7 linked regions of the Solanum lycopersicum genome follow. The protein of the gene in region 6 binds, or shares a complex with, the protein of the main gene of each other region. Links are inferred from orthologs where the notes say so. Each region holds a gene or a part of one and is shown on either strand. Other genes may lie near its edges. The genes, in order: 50S ribosomal protein L27; large ribosomal subunit protein uL5c; large ribosomal subunit protein uL1c; large ribosomal subunit protein uL15c; large ribosomal subunit protein uL10c; large ribosomal subunit protein uL3c; 50S ribosomal protein L6, chloroplastic.

The links.
Region 1: large ribosomal subunit protein uL3c (region 6) and 50S ribosomal protein L27 share a complex: the UniProt entries of both Arabidopsis thaliana proteins name them as parts of the 50S ribosomal subunit. The link is inferred for Solanum lycopersicum from reciprocal best matches to the Arabidopsis thaliana genes AT2G43030 and RPL27.
Region 2: large ribosomal subunit protein uL3c (region 6) and large ribosomal subunit protein uL5c share a complex: the UniProt entries of both Arabidopsis thaliana proteins name them as parts of the 50S ribosomal subunit. The link is inferred for Solanum lycopersicum from reciprocal best matches to the Arabidopsis thaliana genes AT2G43030 and AT4G01310.
Region 3: large ribosomal subunit protein uL3c (region 6) and large ribosomal subunit protein uL1c share a complex: the UniProt entries of both Arabidopsis thaliana proteins name them as parts of the 50S ribosomal subunit. The link is inferred for Solanum lycopersicum from reciprocal best matches to the Arabidopsis thaliana genes AT2G43030 and EMB3126.
Region 4: large ribosomal subunit protein uL3c (region 6) and large ribosomal subunit protein uL15c share a complex: the UniProt entries of both Arabidopsis thaliana proteins name them as parts of the 50S ribosomal subunit. The link is inferred for Solanum lycopersicum from reciprocal best matches to the Arabidopsis thaliana genes AT2G43030 and RPL15.
Region 5: large ribosomal subunit protein uL3c (region 6) and large ribosomal subunit protein uL10c share a complex: the UniProt entries of both Arabidopsis thaliana proteins name them as parts of the 50S ribosomal subunit. The link is inferred for Solanum lycopersicum from reciprocal best matches to the Arabidopsis thaliana genes AT2G43030 and EMB3136.
Region 7: large ribosomal subunit protein uL3c (region 6) and 50S ribosomal protein L6, chloroplastic share a complex: the UniProt entries of both Arabidopsis thaliana proteins name them as parts of the 50S ribosomal subunit. The link is inferred for Solanum lycopersicum from reciprocal best matches to the Arabidopsis thaliana genes AT2G43030 and emb2394.

Annotation. Positions count from the first base shown.
Region 1 is NC_090810.1:58,850,415-58,854,516, reverse strand, and holds the start of 50S ribosomal protein L27, read left to right. Parts: upstream 1-1,302; 5' UTR 1,303-1,349; intron 1,350-2,588; 5' UTR 2,589-2,595; coding exon 2,596-2,862; intron 2,863-3,542; coding exon 3,543-3,644; intron 3,645-3,715; coding exon 3,716-3,901; 3' UTR 3,902-4,102.
Region 2 is NC_090808.1:1,642,617-1,646,187, forward strand, and holds large ribosomal subunit protein uL5c, read left to right. Parts: upstream 1-1,476; 5' UTR 1,477-1,645; coding exon 1,646-1,897; intron 1,898-2,325; coding exon 2,326-2,871; 3' UTR 2,872-3,071; downstream 3,072-3,571. UniProt on the Arabidopsis thaliana protein: Binds 5S rRNA, forms part of the central protuberance of the 50S subunit.
Region 3 is NC_090800.1:78,432,018-78,436,172, reverse strand, and holds the start of large ribosomal subunit protein uL1c, read right to left. Parts: upstream 2,801-4,155; 5' UTR 2,733-2,800; coding exon 2,424-2,732; intron 822-2,423; coding exon 642-821; intron 536-641; coding exon 481-535; intron 1-480. UniProt on the Arabidopsis thaliana protein: This protein binds directly to 23S ribosomal RNA.
Region 4 is NC_090804.1:3,795,317-3,799,601, forward strand, and holds the start of large ribosomal subunit protein uL15c, read right to left. Parts: upstream 2,801-4,285; 5' UTR 2,608-2,800; coding exon 2,527-2,607; intron 2,449-2,526; coding exon 2,091-2,448; intron 1-2,090.
Region 5 is NC_090803.1:3,526,247-3,528,829, reverse strand, and holds large ribosomal subunit protein uL10c, read right to left. Parts: upstream 1,434-2,583; 5' UTR 1,330-1,433; coding exon 640-1,329; 3' UTR 501-639; downstream 1-500. UniProt on the Arabidopsis thaliana protein: This protein binds directly to 23S ribosomal RNA.
Region 6 is NC_090805.1:36,930,232-36,934,392, reverse strand, and holds large ribosomal subunit protein uL3c, read right to left. Parts: upstream 2,801-4,161; 5' UTR 2,593-2,800; coding exon 2,040-2,592; intron 791-2,039; coding exon 501-790; 3' UTR 421-500; downstream 1-420. UniProt on the Arabidopsis thaliana protein: One of the primary rRNA binding proteins, it binds directly near the 3'-end of the 23S rRNA, where it nucleates assembly of the 50S subunit.
Region 7 is NC_090811.1:69,213,316-69,215,345, reverse strand, and holds the end of 50S ribosomal protein L6, chloroplastic, read right to left. Parts: intron 1,042-2,030; coding exon 705-1,041; 3' UTR 501-704; downstream 1-500. UniProt on the Arabidopsis thaliana protein: This protein binds directly to 23S ribosomal RNA and is located at the aminoacyl-tRNA binding site of the peptidyltransferase center.

The sequences.
Region 1 (4,102 bases), on a different chromosome or scaffold from region 6:
ATTTGCACATATAGATTATATAGCATGATGTTGGATTTAATTATTTTATTGTATTAATTTTATATATTGAAATTTAGATATATTTAAAATGTTCACCTAATATTATTTTTTAACCAATAAATATATTTATTCTTTGAAAGAATTAGGTTCATGGCATTTATATTCTCCACTTGTTCTTGTCCTATAAAAGTAAATAAATTAAACAATCTATTTTACTTTAAATATTCTTCTTTTAAATCCTTTAATTTACCAACACAACTTTTGACTCGAGCAATCAATTCCACTAACTAGTTCAAGAAGCATAATATGAGCAATTTTCAAGAATAATGTGGCATTATTGTAGGTCGGCGTGTTAAATAATCGGGTTGAATTAAAATTTAAAATATTAAAATGAGTTCAAATAAAATTTAAGTCGAATCATAACCTCTTCAAATTATGTTAGGCTCAAATAGGATAAACATTGGATTGGATCATGACCTGTGCGATTTGACATGTTTAATCTCAATAATTTAAACATATTGTTATTTTCCTTTAATAACTATTATTTGAATTTTAATTCAATAAAAACAGTTATAAAATTGATATATAAATCATAAAAAATATAAAATAGATTCTAATTTATGCATTCAATATGAGAACATAAATTACACCAATACAAAAAATACTCTTAAAACATGTTGAAATTAGAGATTACATTGGACACAATTAAAAATTATTTTAAAATGGGCTAAAACGTAAATAAGTTGAGATTGATCCAATTCAAAATATCTAGAGCTCCCGCCTATAAAATTTTAAATGAGTTAGACGAGTTATATATATTTAGGCTCATTTTGACATTCTTAACCGTACTTGTATGGAGGTATGCAAAAAAAAATTATTCTTATACTTTTTATCGAAAAATCATATTATATATGCCCGTAAGTAGGAGTATGAAATTTTCTCGATAAAAATTAAATTAAAAATTTTTAAATATGATTTCATTTTTTGAAAATACTTTTCGCAGAATATCAATTTGAGATTAAAAAACGTTTTCAAAAATATAAAAACAATCACTTGGATTTTAGTTTCGAAGAAAAGATATCTGAAAAAACATTTTATTTTACTAATTAAAATCATATTATTCCCCTTTACAAGTTCGATAAAAATATTTACAACTTCAATATTTATAAGCAAAATTAATTTATGTCCATAACTTATGTTCGATAAACGAAACCATTAAACTTAACCCGAAAACAAGCTAAAAAAAGCCCAATTCAAAACGGGTCAAGTATATTATAAAAAGGATGGCTGACATTTCTCTTATCTTTTTATCTCGAAGATTTTGCCATTGTGGCTCCATAATCCCCTCGGTGAGTTCATCTCTTTTCCCCTCTTCTGTAAATTCAATGTTTTTTTCTTGTACTATGTTTAATTGGGTGTTCGAAAATGTATTTAATTTTAGCTGACTCGCAAATCTTGGTTTACTATTCTCTCCATTTCAATTTGTTTGTGTGGTTCGACTTTGGCAAATAATATAAGAAAGTAAAGATTTTTTTTTAATCAAGTGGGGTTGAAGTAAAACTAATGTTATGTCGAATGTATCAAAATGTTGTTTAATGTGAAAAGTTAGAATTGAAGAGTTGCTATTGGAAATTGAAATGGAGGGGGTTAGTATTTATGCTTCACTAGGATTTGAACTTGAGACGTTATGGTTATCAATCTACTTTATTGACCGCTACTAATATTTTAGGTGGACTGCAATCTTGATGAACATACTAGTGTTTATTTTGTTGTTGATACTGGTTTCCTTTGATTCCTCTTTGTTTTGTGGTTTAAAGACTTGTCCTTTATGATTAAATATGGTTCTTTTATGACCAATTGCTTGCGTAAGGACTTATTTGCGGAATATTTTGTGGTGTAGAGTTTGCGAAATGCGTTTGTGGTGGAGGGGGGTTGATGTTTGGTGTAATTTTGAAAAGAAAAACAATGAGTGGAAGTAATGTGTATTGAAATGCAAGAGATATATAATGGAGTAAAGATAGTTGTAATGAGGACTTAAGGTACTTCTATTGTTAGGAGTGTGTGTTTTGTATTTTTTTTGAAGATTGATAATAAGCTCAGCAAATTGGTTTTATATTTTGATAAAGCTGAGTATTAAGAAATGACAATATTATCTAAACAGTGGTTGGAGCGAGCGATAAGGAGAAAGAGCTGAAATCGTAGTAAAAGGAAATGACTTATCTCATAAGTGAGAGTAGTTATTTCCCCCTTTTGATGGAAAACTTTTTTTCTTAGGAAATATGTTTAGGACCATTTTTATCACTCTTCTACTGTTTTAGTCATACCGAGCAGTGTTAAAGTCAGAGTCAAACCTTCTGTAGACTTACTATCAAAAATATATTTCTCCAATTTGTGTTCGCGATGATCCGGGGAAATTTTAGATTGGCGATTAAGATCCTTGGTAGTTGTTATGGTAATAGTTTTGTCCTCTTAGTAGTTCTATGCTCATATTTTTCCCATTGTTAAATATCACTTCCTTTCCTTTAGGCCTCTCATCTCTGATAGTAAGTACCACGAGAGGCTACTGAATTTCTTTGTTTTCTTTGCAGCGTATAAATGGCAGTGAGTTTGAGTCTTGTTTCCTCATTCAAAGGACTCTCCTTATCTTCCAATTCTCTCCTTGGGGTTTCTCTTCCCATTGCCCCTAAGTTCTCCGTTTCCTTCCCGTTGAAATCTCCATTGACAATTGAGTCTGCACACAAGAAAGGAGCTGGTAGCACTAAGAATGGTCGAGATTCTCCTGGACAGAGGCTTGGTGTCAAGATTTATGGTGACCAAGTCGCCAAGCCCGGTTCTATAATCGTTCGCCAGCGCGGTACAAAGGTTTCAATTTTACTTCTTCTGGATCTCCTCTCTCTTTTTTATTTTTGCCTAAAACTCGTATTTGCTGTGGAAGTTCTGATAGTTCTTTTGATTAATTAATAGTGCTTGAAATGAATTCGGATGAACCCACCCAAGTAGAGTGTAATTCCAGTTTTTTTGCTCAATACCTCACAAACATACTAGGTCCTGGCATCTTGTCAATAACTCTGCTCCATTCGTCTGGCTTTCTTCGTTTGGTTTGTATATTATTTGTTAGAAATATGTGGATTGTCTAGAGGGCGTTAGATTGAGTACAAAACAAGGTACTAGAGGGATACATATCTTGTCATTTGAAGTAACAGATTGCTATAAGGTTTAAGGTTTTGAGCTCGTGTCGTGAAGACATAGTTGGAAGTTCTCTTTAAGAAATGCACATTTGTTATAATCCGACTTGAGTTTTTTTTCTTTGCCGAAAGTGTCAGTTTCTGACAGTATGATGCTATGAGTAGATGTCGTCTTCTATCAGTTAGATAGTAAAAGGGTTTATGCCAGAGGTTGGTATTAGTTTTACTTTTTTTCGGCTCTGATATGATCCTGTTATCGTCTGTTTGTTTGCTCTAAGAGTAGTTCAAAAGTTGCATTCTCCGTTTAGCATTGCCATATATTCTGTTCCCTAATCGTTCTCGTGGTGATATTTCCAGTTCCACCCAGGAAAGAATGTTGGACTTGGCAAAGATCACACAATATTTTCTTTGATTGATGGACTAGTCAAATTTGAAAAGTTTGGACCTGACAGGAAAAAGGTTGAGTTCTTTAGCTTACTGCTTGTAGATATGTGGTACACGAGTGTTATTAACGTATACTGACTGTGCAGATAAGTGTTTATCCACGCGAGGTGCAACCTGAAAACCCCAACAGCTATAGAAACCGAAAGAGAGAGTCCTTCAGATTACAACGTGAACGTAGAAAGGCACGAAGAGAAGGTGTCATCCCTGAGCCTCAGTTGATAGTTGCTTCTGCTGCTGAATCCTCTGAAGATAATCCCATCACCACTTGCTGATAATGGTCTTTCGATTTTTCAAACATTCTGTTGTCGTTTTGGTTATTGCTAGTAGCTACTTGGGAACACATTTGCAGGCACATTTTCTAAACTGTGTTTCTGCCATTGTTGTCTTTTTTTGTTTGTAAATTGTGTTACTGAAAGCATGAGTCTTTGTCACAGTTTGTATGAGTACAGAATGAAATGTATGATTCAGAAGAT
Region 2 (3,571 bases), on a different chromosome or scaffold from region 6:
AAGAAATTATATTCTATAACTCTGAATTTAAAATTTCTGATAAAAATATATTCGTACTTTCTACTCTACCACAACTTTTGAGGTTCCAATCCCATTCGATGTGAAATTCTTTTATTTTCACCTTTATTCAAGGTAAACTCATCCAAAATAAATAAATTATAAACGAAGTTCAAATAATCTAAGTAAATACAAGTATAGAAGAAATGAGCGAAATTAGGCTATAAATGTAAACAAAGACATGCCAGTGAAGAAACTGGCTAAATAATAAAGATTAGGTTTATTTAATGAAATGGGCCACTACGACGTTAAATTTTCAAAAAATTATCCAGCCCACAAACCAATTTAGACTTGGGCCTACCTCATTCCAGTCTAATAGACCCCAATATTTTCTTGGTAAAAATTTTTGTTGGGCCAATAAAATTTGATATAGTAAATTTCATATATAACAAATACAAAATTTATATTTGTATGATATAGCAAAGTTTGTATACTTGCGCTCGGTGACAAATATAAATATGCATAATTCCCTATATACATATACAAAGAAAGCAGTTGTATAATTCACTATACATATACAAAAGAAAGCAGTTGTATACAAAAGATAAATTGTATAATCTGCCATTTGTGTATGTATAAAACGAGAAAAAGAGAAAGACAAAAGAAAACTGAGCAGGAGAATATTTGTTTTGTATAATTACAAGTGTATAGGACGAAGATATATGTATTTACATGTGTATATACAATTTTCTCTCGCTTTATACAAACAGAAATGCAATTTATACATTTCGTTTCTGTTTGAATAAGCGAGAGAGGCGAGGGAGATTCGGGAGAGTGGTGAGTGAGATTTGAGATAGGTGAACAAAACTATATGTATCTATACAATTTTCTCTCACTTTATACAAACGCAAACACATTTTATACAATTGTGTTTGTATAAAAAACGAGAGAGGTGAGTGAGACTGTCACAAAACGAGAGTGGCGAGCGAGATTCCACCAGGGAGAGTGGCGGAAATAGCAATAGTTTGCTATAGGGTACAATTAAATCAAAGTATATTTATAACATTTAATTTAAATTAACAGTTTGCTATTATATACAATTTTCCTGATTTGATACGATCTTCATTCAATAATTTTTAGCCCAAAACTTAAGCTAACATTTAACCATAAATTTCATCATATGTTTGGCTTAATTTTTGGAAACATATTTCACTTTTTTTAAGAAATGTATACTAATAAGTTTTAAAAGTTATCAAAACTAACTATAAGTTTGTATTGCATAACAAAATAGAATAAAAAGATTCACTATCGTAACAATTAGTGTCCATGTCACTGAAGCAATATGGTAATTCAGAGATAGTGCAACAAGCATCATTGCATACATTATGAAGTAGACGAAACATATTGTTCGTCACTTTTATCAATAATCATATCGTCATTTTCTTATTTACTGAATATTACATCATTATTTTGATGTTCACGTAAAAAATTTTACTTGAAAAATCTATGGCGAAATGGATCCGAATTTTTTTTACTTAAACATTCACAAATTAAAATTTAGTAGAGAGAACTCTGTTATATCCACAAAGAACATCTTATCCAATTACCCTTTTATTTTTCACACACAGAGAGAAAAAGCTCAGAGAAAATGGCGGCTTCTCCTCTTCTTCTACACTCCACGGCCTCCTCTTTCTACAATGCTGAGTTTCCGGCGTACTCCGTTCGATTGCCGGTCGGAAATACCAAGGTCCGGTCGTCCAATAAATTGACGGTGAAAGCTTCAGCAACAGTACTAGTGGATAAAAGTGAAGCTGAAAAAGTTAATCGTCTGAAAACAAATTACCTCGAAAAGATTGTGCCGTTGTTGAAGGAAGAATTCAGTTACACCAATATTCTTCAGGTAAACTTAGGAGTCGTTTGTCCATTGCATTTTTTTTCCAGAACAGATAAAAATTAGGGCTTGGGAAAGGGAAAATGGGGGAATTGAACAAATTTTTCAGTTTTTAAAAAAGCTTAGTGCAGGTTCAAACACAAATTCAATTTTCAATTATACTTTTCAAGTTAATTTCAATTTCAAAGCATATGTACTTCTTTAGCTTCAAATTTTACAACTTATATCTACAAATTTGAACTGTTTCTTGTTTGTTTGATTAAATGTTGAATTTTAGAGTTGAAATGCTGAGAAATTAGTTTGTTTGACACTATTATCATTTGAGGAGTGAGAAATCACAGTGAATATTAGTTGCATTGACCTATTGCTTCAAACTCTATTATTATTTTTTAGTTTTAATTTGATTTGATACGGAATGTGGAAAAACCGTGTTTTAGGTTCCGAAGGTCGAAAAGATTGTGGTAAATTGTGGTATAGGAGATGCTGCACAAAATTCCAAGGGTTTGGATGCAGCAATGAATGATTTGGCCTTAATTACAGGGCAAAGGCCTGTGAAGACTAGGGCTAAGAATGCTATTGCTACTTTCAAAATTAGAGAAGGTCAACCGCTTGGAATTGCTGTTACACTTCGAGGGAATGTAATGTATTCGTTCCTTGACCGGTTAATTAATTTGGGGCTTCCTCGAACGAGGGACTTTCAAGGCGTAAACCCCAATAGCTTTGATGGTCATGGAAATTATAGCATTGGCTTTCGTGAACAGAGTGTCTTCCCAGAGTTAAGTTATGATGCTCTTGGTAAGCCAAGAGGGATGGATGTTTGCATAACAACAACAGCTGAGACAGATAAAGAGGCACACAGATTGTTGGCTCTCATGGGTATGCCATTTAGAGAAGGTTCTGGTGGACAGACAACTTTTACGAAAAAGAAAAAGCTTAGAGCTCACCATTTTGACTCGAAGGCGAAGCAAAGGTCTAGGAGATGAGGTGGATCCAATCTCCAGGGATAATGAGTTGATTTGTTGTTTTTTAACTGTTTTGTGGTTTATCAGTTGTTTTTGGCGTACAATTTGAATAGAAAAATCTGTAATTGCACTTTTACCATCTGGCTGGTGATGTCTCGAATATATGTTATTTACGTTTTCTTCCTCTAAAAAAAAAAAAATAAGAATTGTTTTTATCTCTAGTTAAGTTTTTACTATTCATGAATCTTGATTACTGTAATTTGTATGTTATTAAATATTTCCTACCCGCTCCCTTTTCTCGTCTGCCATTTACTTTGATTTCAGGCAAAGAGTTTCTCTTGTTAGCTCCACCATATTCACATTTAGGTGAGTTAACATCTCTGCTTTTATCTTTTATCGTATGTGATAAGGAGTATTTGCGGGCGATATCTTATTTACGTTTTCTAAATTTGTCCTAATGCTTAACACTTGATGTGTGTGAGGCTGTGGAGTCCCATACTTATTTCTACTCCCTGATCCCCCACCTTTCTCCTTTCTTCCTCTAAGGTTTATTTATATTCGCATATTAGAAAGTCACAGTTATTTATAGTATATACCATGTTGCTGAATCTTTATTCCCTTGGCTTCATTTTATTCTGCTCAAATTGTACAGAGTTTTTTCTTTCAAAGTGTGTATGAATGTGCTTTTTAGTGGTTTCAGGTTCTATGTCATTTGATTTGG
Region 3 (4,155 bases), on a different chromosome or scaffold from region 6:
GACCACATCCCAAATATAAAAAAGATCCTAGCATATTGCATTCAATCTAGGGTTACAAAAACTAGACTAACAATCACACTAAAAAGGAAGATTCATATGTCTGATCTTTTTTTTTAAGAAAAAAAAAACAATTCTGAAAGTTACTCCTTTTTCTTTGGGGTGCGTTAAAAAAAGTAGGGTGAAAGCTGCAAGTTCACTAGACAATCTAATTAACCAAGGCTGATTTGGGATGACAACCATATATGATATTCTAGTTTGCAGACCATTTCCACATTATTACGCCCAGTTACTTGTATCACATCTACACTTATGTTAAATGACATTTTAATTTATCAATACAAAATAAAAATGACTATTTTCTAGAAGCAATGAAAGGAGTTCGATAACGACCTTAACAGACCAATTATCAAGGAATCTACTTCCCTTGATTATTTGGCATACAATCACGATCGATTCACACAAAATATTTTTAAGGAGTACCTTGGGTAAGGACAGCCACTTTAACAGTTTGACCTGTTCCCTTGGGCAAGTTAACCTGAAATAGATAAGTCACCACAATTCAAGATATTAATATACCAGTAAACACTCGATATAGACTTTGAAGTATGTAATGATGATTAATGAAATATTTGAAAACTTACAGTTGCCCTAAGCTGCTGATCGTTGTATTTTGGGTCAATATTGAGCCGGAAATGAGCTTCAGCGGTTTCGACAAACTTTAAGCTAGCTGTTTGCTTGAGGAGTTCTATAGCCGTTTTCAAGTCATACTCTTTCTTGATTTCTCTTAACTTCTGAATCTCCAAGAACCTCTTAGACCGCGTCTAATTATTATGGAAAAAGAAGTAACCAATTTATGAGAAAATTGATGGAGCAACGGGTAAATGAGATAGAGAAAGAAACAGAGAAGTTTGATGCTTGATGTATCAGCAACAGGAAAAGCATATCAGAAACGCAGTTTGAAAATCAATAGAGATGATCTTCCACAACTAGCATCTCCAAAGTGCAAAATTATGCACCTGTACAGTGACATCCTTTTCTGGTGAAAGGAACAACCACATGCAGAATTATGTGAAATGTTTAATCTCCGGACAGCATATTTCCTCAGATGTCTTATTATGAGGACAAGGATCACATGAGAGAGTTCGAATGATCTAATTCAATCCCACTACACAAGGTCTAACTTTGCTGCATTAAAATTGATTGTTCACCATTCCTGATTGATCTTTGCCACCGTGATTCCACTTTTAAAAGGACTCCACATTTTATTAGTATTACACCAAGTAACTTAAGATTCTGAATCCTCACATGTTCGGGCAGGAGGAAGGTAGTCTACATTAAACAGGGAAAAAAAAAGCTTGTTCCCCCCAATACAAACAGGAAAGTACAGGCTATGTAAATACTTGCTTCATAACTTGCCAATAACTGCAAGCATATACAAACTAGCTTCCTTTGAAATGACACAATGTGAGACTAGGTAATTTTGACGTGACTCGCCAACCACAATACAGATACAATCTTAGCTTAATATAATTTCATTTCCATTGCTTAGAAATTGTAATTAACGTAATATTAAATTCCATTTCATAATTCCCGGTATAATTATAAATTTGTTAATAAGGATGGTGTCCCAGAAAGCTCATGCAACAGGATTAATCCACCAACGACCTGCTACTTCCCACTCAGTCCAAAAAGACTTAGAGCTGTTAGAAATCACCTACTATCATAATGAACTACTGAATTATCTCATCATCACACAAAACAGACCTTTGGTAGGTAAATCAGTACAGACCAAATTTTACACGACCAAACAAATTCAGACAAGTTCACCCATAAAAAATGAACCAAGAAATTCCAAAACAGGTCATATTGATAGTAATCTCACCACAAAGATCAATGAAACAGAACTTAAGCAAAAGCCACATATCATACAAACAAACAAAGACCCATTTTTCATCTGACATTCACAAAATTAATTAGAAATGAAGAGTTTCAACATAAATATCCTCTTTAGGGGCAAAAAAGTTATGACTTATGTCCATGGTAATATCGCCACAAGAATCATCATCAACAACACCAACATACACAGTGTAGTCCTTCAAAGTGGGCTCTGGCCAGGGTAGAGAGAAGTAAAGAGGTTGTTTCCCGTAGCTCAAGAAAAAAAAAAGGCATAGTTGTTTCAACCTATCATACAAAACCAGCAAAAACTCATCTTTCATCTAACATCCATAAATTAACCCAAAAAAATTTGGAGATTTTCCACATGCTATATCCACTTTAGGGGCAAGAAATCTATTTCCATTCTAATATCATCTCAAAACACAAAAATTAAGCAAACCCCACATATCACACAACGAAAAAAAACCCATCTTTCATATCTAAAAATCCACCAAATCAACAATAAAAAGATGGGTTCTTCAACATACTCTATCCCTCTTCAAGGGCAATGCAGCCTTGCCTTTCTTAGGCTTAGACGGAGGAATTAAAACAGCAACAGCCCCTTCTTCACCTTCCTGTTCCACGGCGTCTTCAACCTCAGCTTCAGCTGCCATAGCAGCAACAACAAGAGGTCCATTCTTCCTTTCTTTGTACTGGAGGCTTAATGGGTGCAGAGAAAAAGATTTGTGGGATGTGAAAAGAAGAGGCTTTGATTTGAAAATTAGGGAATTGGGGTTGAGTTCTTGTGAGAAAATAGAGGAAAGAGTGAGAGTAGAAGGCGTTGCTGTGGAAGCCATTGTTGAATGAGACCGAAGGGATTGTTGTGGTGAATAAACAAAATCATATATAATGCCTATCCATTTGGCGTATGTTGATAACGAGATAAGAGAGTGTATATCAAAAGTATGTTATTAGATTTATCATTTTGACCCACAGAAGTTACAGAATATATGATTTTACCTACTAGCTTTTGATTTTTAAACATATAACCCCTCCCTTTATTGATGCAAGTTTCCTTGGGAGAGTCTGAAAAAAAAAAAAATTGTTTCAATTTTATCGGATGTTTCATTGAAAACATATACGATAGCATGTTTTTATATATGATTAATCTTAAAAGTTAATAATTAAAGCAATTATATTTATTACTTAATAATGATTAAGTATGTATATATATATATATATATATATATATAAGAGAATCATATGTCAACCTAGGTAGCGTCATCACAAGTAAGAATTTTCATTTAAATGACTTATATGAAGAAGAGCTGTGATTTTTACAAAAAGTTACAACTTTTATGAAAGGTTGTGCTCTTTCAAAAGAATTGTAACTTTTTCAAAGAGTTGTGTTATTTCCCATTTGGCACAATAAATATTTTGTTCACACTATCCTTTGTTTTCTATGAATAGAGAGATTTCATTTTGTTTTAAAACAACAAAGATTTTGAACGTCTTTCTTCTGCATAATTAAATATTATTTTTGTATAAACACACTGCTAAACGTTCTATAAATATTTTGTTCACACTATCCTTTGTTTTCTATGAATAGAGAGATTTCATTTTGTTTTAAAACAACAAAGATTTTGAACGTCTTTCTTCTGCATAATTAAATATTATTTTTGTATAAACACACTGCTAAACGTTCTATCGTGAGGATTTAGTATTTTAAACCTCGGGTGGTAGAGGAGAATAATTTTCTTAAGGGTACATTGTGCATTTCATGGACTCAATTTTTTTATTTTCTCTTTCATTATATTACATATCCTAGTGTGTTTGTTTTATACTTTGTTGTATATGTTTCTGCAAAGTTATTGTTATAAGGATTTGTTAATACATATTAAACAACACACGTTATTTGAGTATTCATAGAAGTTTTCTCTACTGAAATTTCAGTTTAAACTGAATTTCATCACTCTAATGTGTTGATTTGTAAAGACACACAAACAAACTTAATAGTTTTATGTATTCAAGTATATATAATAAGTTAAATTATTGTACTATATGATACATTCTCCCTTTAATTTTTCATTTTAATAATTACTTATAATACATTTGAAATGGAGAAATTTAAAATGAGATATATAAGCAGACAATATGGTTGAATATTCTATACGATAGAATTAAAATATTTGTTTACTTTTATCAGTCTTTTAAAATTTATTTTCCCTTCACCAATAATTATTTATTTATTATATAAAATTTAATATCATTGGTTGATTA
Region 4 (4,285 bases), on a different chromosome or scaffold from region 6:
GTGGTAAACATGTAGTAGATAATTGCTTTTGACAGATTAGCCTGACTTGAGGGAAATCCTTAACTAAATCAACAAAACACATAATGAAACAAATTAAAAGACGAGATTGGAGGTTTTACAAAGAGCACTATCAATTACTTCAGTTATTAAGTTAGAATAGCCTAAAATAGTCAAAGTTATAAAAATTAGACATGGCAAGGCCTAATCAGTATGAAAGGCCTAAGAAAAGTAAGAACTTATTTTTTGACACACAACTCTAGGTGTGAGTATCAAGGTTCAGCATTATATAATGCGAATGGATACAAGTTACGCCAAAAATAAAGGACAGTTATGAATCATCTTAGTAATACCAACAACTTGACATTGAAGAAAATACTTAATCAAACGCCATGCATAAGGGAAAGTGAAGACTACTCAAGAGCCACACTGAGACTAGAGAGTCAAGGCACTGACATTCTCTTCAAATCAAAGGAAGAATAGCCCTTTGACTCGAGGGCCTTTTTACCTCCTTAGTATGAACTTTCCAAATCCTCCTCCTTTTAAAATAAGTTTCCTGCTAGGGGAAGGTTAGGAAAGGACAGATTTTATATCCGCTGATTCGGTTTATGATGGCATAAGGAGCATTTGTTCGAGTGAGAGCTCCTAGAATGTTCATTTTGCAGTAAGAAACTTCTTGACAGACGTTACACCTGGTTGGATGCTTGAGCACATTTCTCTCATATCGATCAAGGCTTTCCTTTTAGTTTAAATAAGGGGGTAACAGTCTTCGGATTATAGAGGAAGATAAAAATGTTGAGGATTTCAGAATATTGCAAATAAGAAAATAAGAATTTCAAGATATTTGCCTTGATGTCATATAACTATGCATAGCTTTATTTCTTAGTGCAATATATTGATCATTTGTAATAAATTTCTTTAGATTAATCATCAGTACAGTTTGAGTATGCATACACATATGTCCACCAGATGCAGATAAGACTTTTTATCATCCTATGAAAATCTGCCTCTGCAATGACACAACCAAAAGAAAAACAAACATGCTTGTAAACAAAGATACACACAGTGCACCCAAGTGAGTGGCGTAGTTGTTAATGGAGTTGGTTGAGAACCATAATGTCTCCTGTTCAATATTCATTTATCCAAGCCTTTCTGGATAGAGTTATCCGCTCAGCAGCGCATTTACTATTTGGAGATGGATGACACCAGGCAGGGCAGAAAAAAGAGTTTGTATTCCATTAGTTGAGGAATGAAGTAGCAAAGGAATATCCAACACAAGTGTTGGCAGGAAGAAGCAGGTACCCGTGGAATTAAGTACATGACAGTGTTATCAAATCAAAAAAACTCTGAGGACCATTGGGACTAAGCATAAAACGTGAATAAAGCATGATCTTTAATATAAAAAGGAGCAAAGGGAGAAATACAAATACATATGTTTGTTTAGTCTAAGAATAATAATTGTAAGCATGAATGACAAATATATGAACAAAGAAATTATTTTTTTTACTATTAAGTGAAATATCAATTGTTTAGTGTTGCCTAAAGAGACTCAAAAGAATGCCTAAGAAACTTGATGACGACCCTGAAGAGCACATTAAGCAAGACAAAGCGCTCAACACATTTTGAACCTCGCTTATGCACAGCTTTGACAACACTACTGCATGCAAGGTGCCCCGAACACAAATATAAAAAAGAACACATAGTCAAGTTAAAGCTATAAATTTTATAACACTTATCCATAGACTTTTAAATGGTAAACTATAACACTGCAGATGGACACAGAAACAAACAACAAAACAAGGAAAAACAAAATCCAACTCAAACTAAGGGGTCATTTGGTACTAGGGATGAGATAGACAAAGTTATCCCATTGATTAGTATATCCCGAGGAATTAGTTATCCCGCCATATATATATGAGATAACTTATCCTATCATTATCTTATAAAAATGACAAGATAGATATTCAGGGACTAACTAATACCCCTAACCAAAGGCAATCCAACATTTTATCCCGAGATTATTATCTCTTATCCCTTGTACCAAACGACCCCTGTGATAATATAATTATGTTGAAGCAATGTTAACAAATTACCTCCAGCAATTCCTCTCAACTTAGGAAGTCTCCTATAGAGAGGCATTTGACCCCCTTCAAACCCCTTTCTAACTCCAGGTCCAGACCTTGATTTTTGACCTCTCATACCAAAACCACAACTACCCCCTTGTCCAGCTGAATGCCCTCTACCTTTCCTCTTCCTATTCTTGGTAGCCCCAGGTTGAGGACCCAAGTTATTAAGCCGAAAACGAACACTCCCAGTTGCAGAATCAGCACCAAAACTTGCAGTTTGGTTGAAAACAACAAATGGGGTTCTTGTTATTGACTTAGATTTCAAATTGCAGACCTTTATTAAAGGCAAAAGCTTCGAACTTGACTTCAAATTACTTACATTACCCTGAAAAAAATTGATGGGGATAAATGAGAATTGTATAATTTTGACAGAAATTGAAAAATTAAAGAGGAGAAATTGTACCTTGAATGATGAAGAAAACTGGGTAATGATTGAATTTGTTCTTGTAGGTGATGCAGAGGAGATGGAGAGTAGAGACGCCATTGTTGATAAGGGAGAACTCAGGATTGTGTTCACTGTCCAAGCAAAAAGTGTTTTGACAAATTTTAACGGATAGGGGTGGTTATTTCAGGGACTTTCTTTTCTACTTTTTAAATTAGTTTACGAGTCTATTATCAGGTGTTCGATATTTAATTCGATATGTGTGTATTACACTTCATTTTGAGGATCGTGGTCTTTTTTGCTTCCAACATGATGTTTGATATTAGTAATAGGCTTAAATAAAATTTGAATTCACACACGACTGGGCACATTTTTAGAGGGGACTTTCCTAACTGATTTTTTTCATTTATGGGATTGAATTTGAAACATATGATTAAGAAAGAGAGATCTAAACGCTCGCTACAAGTCATATTAATTACTAACATGTTTGATTACTTAGTCATTGATAAATTCTATACGAGGGTTATTAGTAATTCGTCAACTTCTTTTTTAGATAGTAATCTTTCTTTTCTTCCTCTTTCGTCATGCTATACTCCGATGAGGATTACTCTTATAATGTTCTGCTTAAGAAAATTTAAAAGAATCTCCTTAATCCTGTCTTACTCCGCCCAAATTTCTGTATACATTCATTAATCAGCAAATTATAAAAATGACTACATTTATAGGATTTATCAAAGTTCAATAGCTACAAGTATGTTATTTATAAAAAATGAATACAATTTATATCTTTTTCTAGCTGTATTAATTCTTTAAATATTATTATTTTTCTATTTATACAGTAATACAAGTTTAATTACAACAAACTAAATAAGGAAAATGTATTAATTGTGTACAGTTAGTATATGAATACTTTGAATTCAAATTAGTATCTATATTTATAAAACGTAAAGTGTATATATATATATATATATATATATATATATATATATATATCAATGATACAAGTTTTTGTAAGAATTTAATGTATCAATATATATATCAAACAAGTTAAAGTATGACAATTAGCATATGAACACGGCTATTTGAAAAATGAATACATTATTGTTGTTCAAAAAATGAATGCAATATAGTATACATATGAATACATTGTGTTACTAAATCAAAGATGGATAAATTGGACAACGTAGAAACAAAAAAATAGAAAATAATAGAATGTGTCGGTATCAAAGTATATAAGAATTCGCCTGTATAAAAAATTGATAAATAACAATTGCCAATCTCTTTTTGGTAAGTGATCCTGTAATACATGAAGCTTGGTGTTAACTTAGGTATTTATAAAAATATAGTATTAATGTATCCAATTGTACTTGTATTGCCTAATCAATCTTGTAAATTGGATAAATTACTTATGTATCCAGATATATTTGTATTTGTAAATCACCATTTTCAACGAGTGTTAATATTATAATACAAATATCTATGTATATAAGTATTCTATTTTATATATATATATATATATATATATATACACACAAATTTGACAATCACACAAACCTCCATCTCTTTTTACTCATGTTCTTCCTCCTGTACTATTTTTAAAAAAAATATAACTATAGTCATTGCAATGGAGAAAACAAGATAATTCTTAACCAGAATCCTTTAAAAATAAATGAAAATATAGATGGATATAAATATAATTTTCATATATAAAAAAAGAGAGAAAATCAACTAAAATATATTTGATGAATTCAAAAGACAAAAATTACTCCTAGATTCATCA
Region 5 (2,583 bases), on a different chromosome or scaffold from region 6:
AGAAATCCCAAAAAGTGGAGTCTGGGGAAGGTAGAGTGTACGCAAACCCTACCTCTACCTAGTGGAGGTACAAAGGTTGTTTCCAAAAGACCCTCAGTTCAAGTGAAGTAAATGAAAGTACTAACAAAAAGGGAAAACGACAATAAGGAAAACATGAGAACTAGTAATAGGAAAGCACTGCAGAGGATACATGCAAGAAACAATAACGTCAACAATATAGTGCGATCAACATATAACAATAGCAAGAAACTGCAAGAATAAAGCTACACACTTCCTCCAGACTACTACCAAAGCCCAAACTCAGCAAATAGCAAGATCTTAGTGCACCGAGCTGCCCTTTTAATATTTGACAAATATAGTGAGCTGAAGCAGGAATACAGACTATTTTCTTGGTTCAGTGATAATGGAAAGAGCAGAATAGTACATTTCACATAACATAAATCCTCTCAAACAGTTATGAAGTAATCCAGATAATTATCCGCCAAATACGAGGACACAAATTTAGAACAATTGGCCAAGGATAAATTCATTCTACCAAAAACATAAAATTTACAAAATTCCATCTCTCAGAAAAATTTCAAATATTGATCCAAATAGACAATAGTATTAGCTTACCATATCCAAGAATTACAACAAAAATTATTGACTTCCACCTTCTTCCTCCTCCAATTTCTTTACATAAGCCTTAAGAACCATAACCAAATTCCTTGCTGGAGCTTGAATAGTCCCAACAACAGCTGAAGCAGGTCCTTTCAAAGACCCAAGAAGCTGTGAATAAATCTCAGCTCTTGTAGGCAAATTCTCAAGCACCTTAAACTCATCAGGCCCATAAAACTTCCCTTCAAAAACCCCACCAGTAAAATCATTATCTTCCAATTTCTTCTCCCTTAGAAAAGTCCTATAAGGTTTCAAAGCAGCTGGGATTTCTTCACTATGAACAAATAACCAAGCATTCATTCCCTTCATACATGGTTTCAATGCTTCCCATTTTGTCCCTTCAATTGCTTTAAGTACCAATGTGTTCTTAGCAACAAGAAGCTTTGTTGTTTCTGGGAGTTGAGCCCTAAGATCTTGAAATTGCTTAACTGTTAACCCCTTGTAACTGATTCCAGCTAAGAGATAACAATCTTCAAGCTGTTGCTTCACTGTTTCGACTGTTTCTTCTTTCTTGGTTCTGCTAATGGCTGAACGAATAGTTAGAGTTCTGGGTTTGAGTTTGAGGTGAGAACTGGAATGGGGGATTATGAAGGGATTGTTGAAGTGGGATTTCACGGAAAATGGGTAAGAGTGAGAGGAAGAGGAAGGTAAGCTGAAGAGAGCAGCCTCCATTGATGATAGCTTGAGAATTGGATTGCCTTATCTTTTGTGCTAAGATAGAATTTAGGGGTATTTCATAAACTTTATGTTTTTGAAAATATTTATGTCATACCAAACAAACCATTAAAGAAGTTAAAAAAGGCAAAATAGGTGTAATATTTACATATATTTTATCGTCTTTAATTTATAAAATTATGTTAGATATATTTTTATTATTATTATTAACAAAATTCTTGAGATGATTTGATATGATATATAAAAGATAATAATTTCATAAAATGTAAAATTATTTTATCTTATATTTAAAGATATTAATTATGATTCGATCAGTTATTTTAAATATATATTATCATTATTTTCAGATGCTTTATTAATTTTTTTTTAAAAAAATAATATAATAATCATATCAATTTTTCTTCTATATTAAAATATTTTATTAATTTTGTTTGAATTTCATAGTAGAGTCGCATTAAGTATAATCAATGCAAATATTATATGATGTATTTGGCATTAAGGTGTATATAAGATATGGAATTATGTGGATATTAGTAAAAAAAAATATTCATGCATTAGCATAATAAAATCACTATTGCTCTTCAAAACTCTTTTAACATCATTTTACTATATTTGTGAAAGATACTTATATAAATAAAGAATTTTGTTCAAAATTGATGTAATACAGATTATTTTCTTTACGTCAAATCAAATATTAAATATAAAATAATACTCCTATCAAATATAACTCATACAAATATTAATAATAATTAAATTATTTACTACTAAAATTCACCATATTCAATATTATTCCTTCTACACCTCGTCAATCCTTTTTCAAGTATGTATATCTGTATCTACAAGTTTATCAATTAAAAATGCTGGCTTAAAATAAATTTAAAGAGTCAAGAATATTCAAAAATTATTTCTGAATGTAATCAAAATCACAAGTGATATTTTTGTTATTTTCTCTGCTCAGGTCCTAGACTTTGCTTCAATTATATTATATTATATTATTTTAATAAATATAATATTTGAATAGATTGTATCTGTATAGTAAAGACAGAGCGTGAGGTGAAATCTTTTACATAGTATATGGTGAGGCGTATGTCCTGAGACACAAGACGTAAGTCTCATAGTTTTAAGGGGCATAATCACATGTATATTCAATTTTTAGTTTAATTATTAATAAAATAAGCAAAAGTAAATCTTTCAATGATTTATGATTTTTATTTGAGATAAGTATTAATAATCGGTAATGAACAAAAAAAA
Region 6 (4,161 bases):
GTTCAATGTGGTGTAATGTTGCTGTTACCTTTCTCTTTTGTAATTATAATGACTTGCACTATAGTATAGTCATCTATAAAATAAATATTTTTGCGCCAAAATCATACAATTCCCTAATAATAAAACACCAATTAAACTACAATCGTTTTAAATGCCAAACTTTAGACGAGATGGTGAACTTTAAAGTTTATAGTACATGAAAAAAACACTATTTTACAAATTGATATGTTGTGAATTTTCATCAATAATTTGTCTCATACGATAAATGGTTTTGAACAGATTGATATTTTGATTCGTGAATAGAATATGTGTTTTTATGGTTATGAGAGGGAGGACACAAAACTAGATATTTTCATAGACTTCTGATAATGTAAAGTTTTTTAGCTAAGAAATCTGACAAATAAAACTTGAAGGTAGAGATTGGTTGAAACACAATATCATAATTTGAAAGAAAAAATTTCATCACTTCATAGAGTTGATAAAAGAAGAGGGAACAAAAATTAGTTCTTGGGGATGTTTTTGCCAACTATCTTGGCCGGAGCTATTCGCAAAAGATTTCCAGGCTTACCAGGAAGAGCTCCTTTGATCATTAGAATCTTAAGTTCATCATCAATCTTGACGATCTTGAGCTTTCTAATCTTTGTCCTGGTGCCTCCCATTCGTCCAGGCATCTTCTTGCCCTTGTATACACGCCCTGGGGTTGTCCCAGCACCAATTGATCCTAGTTGTCTATGACTCTTTGATCCGTGAGTCATTTGACCCCTCTTGAAATTATGCCTCTTGATACCACCTGCAAGCCAATTCCACCAGTGTCAACAATGAGAGAGCGAAAAACAAGATATGATAGATAGAACTTGCTTTCTGTAAAGACAATCAAATTTGAGATAAAAAATTACTTCTCTAGTAAGTGAATGATATATCTAGAGTCAAGACCGCCACCAATAGAGAACCAAAGAACTACCTGTACCTTGACTTAATAGTTACAATATGTCGATACATGCACCTGTATGGAAGTCTCGTCTGTATGATACTTCAAACAACTATTCAGGTTATGATAAACTTTTAAGACGTGAAAAGTTGATAAACCCTACTTCCACATTTAAACATCTGAAAATGTACACTGTGGAATCAACCAGCATAATTAAACACTATGATAGCAAGTCATGTTAACCAGAATATCAAGATATCCATTAATGAAGCTTATTTAGGTGCTGAAGCCATGCCACACGAAGAGAGGAGCTACCACGATGTTCAATTACAATGTCATTTTCAGTTGGAATTGCAGTATTTACAAACAAAAGTTGCGGTTATTGAGGAAAATCAATAGAAGCATTAATACAAACCATTTGGCCAAAAAGTTAATGTAGCTCATGTAACAGGCATTTCAAGTACTCTTACAAATAAGTAAAATATCATATTTACATCTATAGTGATACATTGTATCATAATTATACAAACAAATACATTCTGGTTTAAGGATAAATGAATTGCAATAGCATAACAAAGTGCAGTAATGCAAAACCAAAGACTTGATATTTCAGATGTATCACGCTACTAAAATCACAGGCCAGTTCTCTTTTAAACAACAACCGCGCTCCATCCCAAGCTAGCTATATGAATTTAGAATATCCATTTGAACTAGATTCATTAACAATACGAGTTCTCTATTTCACAGTTCACATATGAAAGACAATATATTCATAGCTCACTGATGATAAGAAAAAACTAATCACAACACATAAAATCAAGGTCAATTGTACACTTCATTCATGAAATTGGGATGAAATCTTCGGACCTGTTTGGATTGGCGTTTGGCATGGGATTTTTATAAAAACCAAAAGCCTTGTTATACCATTTCTAACCTATGGCTTTAGCTTATTTTTGACTTAAAAATAAGTGTTTATAAGCACTTTATAACTTTACCCAAATACTTAAAAACAATCGAAAATGAGCTCAAATCTTTGATAAACAAGGCTAAATTTAGATAACGACCCGAAAAAAGCAATCTTTAGGATAATTGGAGTGGTAGAGAAACAGACCTTGAAATCCTTTTCCAATGGTTGTACCAGCGACATCAACCAAATCACCTTCTTTAAATAATTCATTAAAATCAAGTTTCTGCGTTACTTCAAATCCATCAACAGACTGAAGACGAAACTCCTGCAAATGACGGAGAGGAATAATCCCAGATTTTTCAAGATGACCCATTTCAGGTTTAGTTAGTTTTCTATCACGAACTCGTCGATACCCAACTTGTACAGCACTATATCCATCAGTAGCTTCAGTTTTAATTTGAGTAATAATATTTCCTTCGCGAAACCCTACAACAGTAACAGGCACCACTGTTCCTGAATCTTCAAAGAAACTCATCATTCCAAGTTTGGTTGCCATTATTCCGACTCCAGCTTCAAGAGAGGCAGAGATAGCTGGAGATGTTGAAATGCGGAGAATTGAAAGGGGTTTATGTTTTGGGAGTCTGAAAGAGGGGAGAAATGGAGAGTGCAGAGTTAAGGGTGTGACTGTGGTGGAAGTGGGTAGGGTTTGTAGGCGGAGCTTGGCGGTGGGCATTGTAGAGAAAGAAGAGAGAGACATGGCTTACTGGTTCGCTGAGACAGAGAAAGAGGAAGGGGAAACGCCCTGTTATAGGATTTCCTTATCCGGTACAAGATGGGGAAAGAGGGAGATGGTTGCACAAAACTATAAGACCCCAAATATAAATTAAGGAGCGGTATCTCACGTAATTTTAATCGAATTTAATTTCAACTCATTTAAGTTTTAATCTATTTTTTAAAAAATATTTAATTTAATCATCAATTTCAATTTTTTTATATAACTTTTTATTTGCATTGACGTTTCTATACCGAAAGTATAAATTATTATTTATTTTATATTTTTTTAAAGATTTATCTATTAATTTGTAACTGTTTCTTTTTTTAAAAAAAATAATAATTTTGAGTTGAAATTTAAATTACAATTATAAAAATTAAATATTACTAAGTTGAAATTATTGAGATTAAGCAGGTCAAATTGAACAGGACCATGACCCATTCCAAATTTGAGTCCAATTCATTTGAACTCAAAGTAAACTTGGTTTGGTTAAAACTCAACCCAAATTTTATTTCAATTTATTTTATTATTTTCAGTTTCAACCTAACTCGCTCATTTGATACCTCCTAAGAGTGACAAATACTTCTACATCATTTATTAGAGGTCGAGTTCGAGTCTTCTGGATATAAATTTATCTTTATTAGGGAGCAAAATCCTTAATCAGAGGTCAAATTTGAATCTTTTAGATACGAAAATTGTCTTATTTAGATAGCAAGAATAAGATCATATAATTTTTTATGCGAAAATTATTAAACTAGTCAGAATTCCTAACATAATTATTATAAGATCTATACTTAAGAATAATTAATAAATGTAAATATGTCAATATTTTATTAACTATAAGGTATCATAATATAATTTAGTTACCTTTTTTTTTTCAAATTGAACCCACTTTTTTTTATCCTGTTACTGATGAAAAGAAAAAAAGAGATCTTATTATCGACTTTTTTCTCTCAAATTTTTTATCCATATTTTATCATGCCTCTCTCACACATTTGGAACAGGGGCGGATCTACTTAAGCTCGTGGGGTGCCACGCCATCCACGAGCTTCGGCCAAAACGCGATGTATGTATAGGTGTATATATGTACATTGTATCCCCCTTCTAGACCCCGGATTGAATCCGGATAACAACTTTTTTTTTTAAAAAAAAAAAGGAATTTAGCTTCAATAATTCATATTTTGAAGATTATATTTCTTTTTCTTTTAAATTCTAGTTGACTTAGTTTTAATTAATAATTATTGTTGACTAATTTAATTTATTAATCTTTAATTTTTTTATAATTTGTTATTTGTTTGATTGAGAAGCATTAAAAATAGCTTTAAACTATGTCACGTCAAATAAAAATATACTCTGTTAATAATTTTATTAAAATGTCCATACGATTAAACATTTATTCTAAAAATGTCTCCACTACTAATATTTTAAACCTAAAAATGTCTATGTTGTTATTTTATTATGTCAAAATACACCTTTTCTAATGAACATAATTTTTTTTATTTTCTAATAAAATTATTGTTTTTAAAGAATTCCTTTCTTGTTTTTTTTTTCTTT
Region 7 (2,030 bases), on a different chromosome or scaffold from region 6:
GTGCATTAAATGTATATTTCCCTGCTTTGACTATAATTACTGCTTTCTCATATATAGTTTGGTTCATTGAAAGTGTTTGAAATTAAAATAAATGGTCAAAAATACATTTAAAATATATATTTTTGGAGAGTAATTATTATCAATTATTTATCAAAATAGTCAATTATTTAGACTAAATGTTTGAATACATTCACATTCATTTGTATTAAGTTCCGTTGTTTCGAGTATTGTTATCAAAAGAATTATATTTGAGATTAAATTTGTATTGTTACTTATTCATGTGTGGAATTTATACAACGTATTTTCAATATTAAAGGAAAAGGTTACAATTTAATTTATTGAAAGATAAATGTTCAATTATAATTTATCGATTTAGAAAACGATTGCGTTCTTGCTAAAACTATGTTCATTTTTCATGAATTTGTAAATATTTTATTGAATGCAACCACCTCCATGAACACAACGACATACTTTGTTTTTTAATGTGATAGACCCTCAGCTCAAGAAAATCGTTTAATTTTTTCAGAACAGCTTTAAAAGAAATGTAAGGGAAACCAGATTACATACAATATTCAAATTGTGTGACTCTTATATTTAAAGGGATCCACAAGATAAAAAATTTGTCAAGTCACTTGCAAAATGAACCTAACTTCAAAATAGCTCTAAGAAAAATACAATAAAACAATGACAAAATGTACCATGATTTACTTCTTCTTGCCTGCTTTACCTTCTTTCCTTCTAACTATTTCATCAGCATATTTCACTCCTTTACCTTTGTATGGCTCTGGAGGTCTCCATTTTCTAATTGAAGCTGCAAATTGACCGATCTCTGACTTATCGTAACCACTTACAGTGATTCTGGTGTTTTCTTCAACCTTAACTTGCAGTCCAGCAGGAACTTCCATCCTAACGGGATGAGAAAATCCGAGATTGAGAACTATGTCTTTCCCTTCGATGGTTGCACGATATCCAACCCCTACCAATTGAAGTTTCTTCTCGAATCCTTTGGAAACGCCGACTACCATGTTATCAGTTAGAGTCCTGCCGAGTTTGATGAAGAAAAAGAACATCTTCAGAGTAAACACTCAAAATATGTGCATCTATACATTGTCACTAGAATTGACCAACATAACAACAGTGATAAGATTATGAAAAATTTTATATACAGTCCGTAGGTATTGGCAGAATGTTTGATAGAGTTGGTGTAAGACACATATTATGGCTTTTGAAGTTGAGAGGAAATCATTTGGGGTGCAGAATCATACCTTTATCACAAAATTCTGTGAAACTGATGATCATCATCATCAGAGACGAGAGTCGTGTAAATGAAAATTCCAAGTTGAAAATCACGTCTAATTGTTGAAATCATGGATATTCTTCTAGCTTAAGGCGTGTGTATGACACTTTCTGTAAGGATATTCAATCATATAAACGTATCTCCTAGGATTCAACAAGCTCATCTAGTATAAACTAGCATCAAAAACCTTATGATTTATGGTTATTATACCTAAACTAGTTCTTTATTAAAGCTCCTAAAACTCTACAACGACTAGTTAACGGCTAGTTTGACCATTTAAAGTAAGGGCAAAACAATAAACTATAAGTGGATAAAAACAAGGGACACTTCCTTATGAGATACTTCCAAATTTCCAACAATCCCACGCACATCTCAAAAAGAATATCTATAAAATGAAGAAAGAAAACATATTTTGATAGTTTGCTGGGTTTTGAGTATAATGGATCCATTTGGTATCTTTTGGATTACGAACCAAATACAGATGCTAAGATTTGACTTACAGAATAATTGGCAAAGTTGATAACTTTTACGAACTAAAAATTCTAGTTGTAAGCTAAGTTTCTTATTCATCACATTATACTCCCACAATTTCTATTGTTTATTGCAGTTTTGCGCTAATGCATAATAGACAACTGGCTTGCCTGGTTATTCGAGAGTGCTTTAGAATTTTGCCGTAATTTCAAAAGAGCAGATACACATGAATAAGATTAAGAGTTTTACTCAACCTCACTAC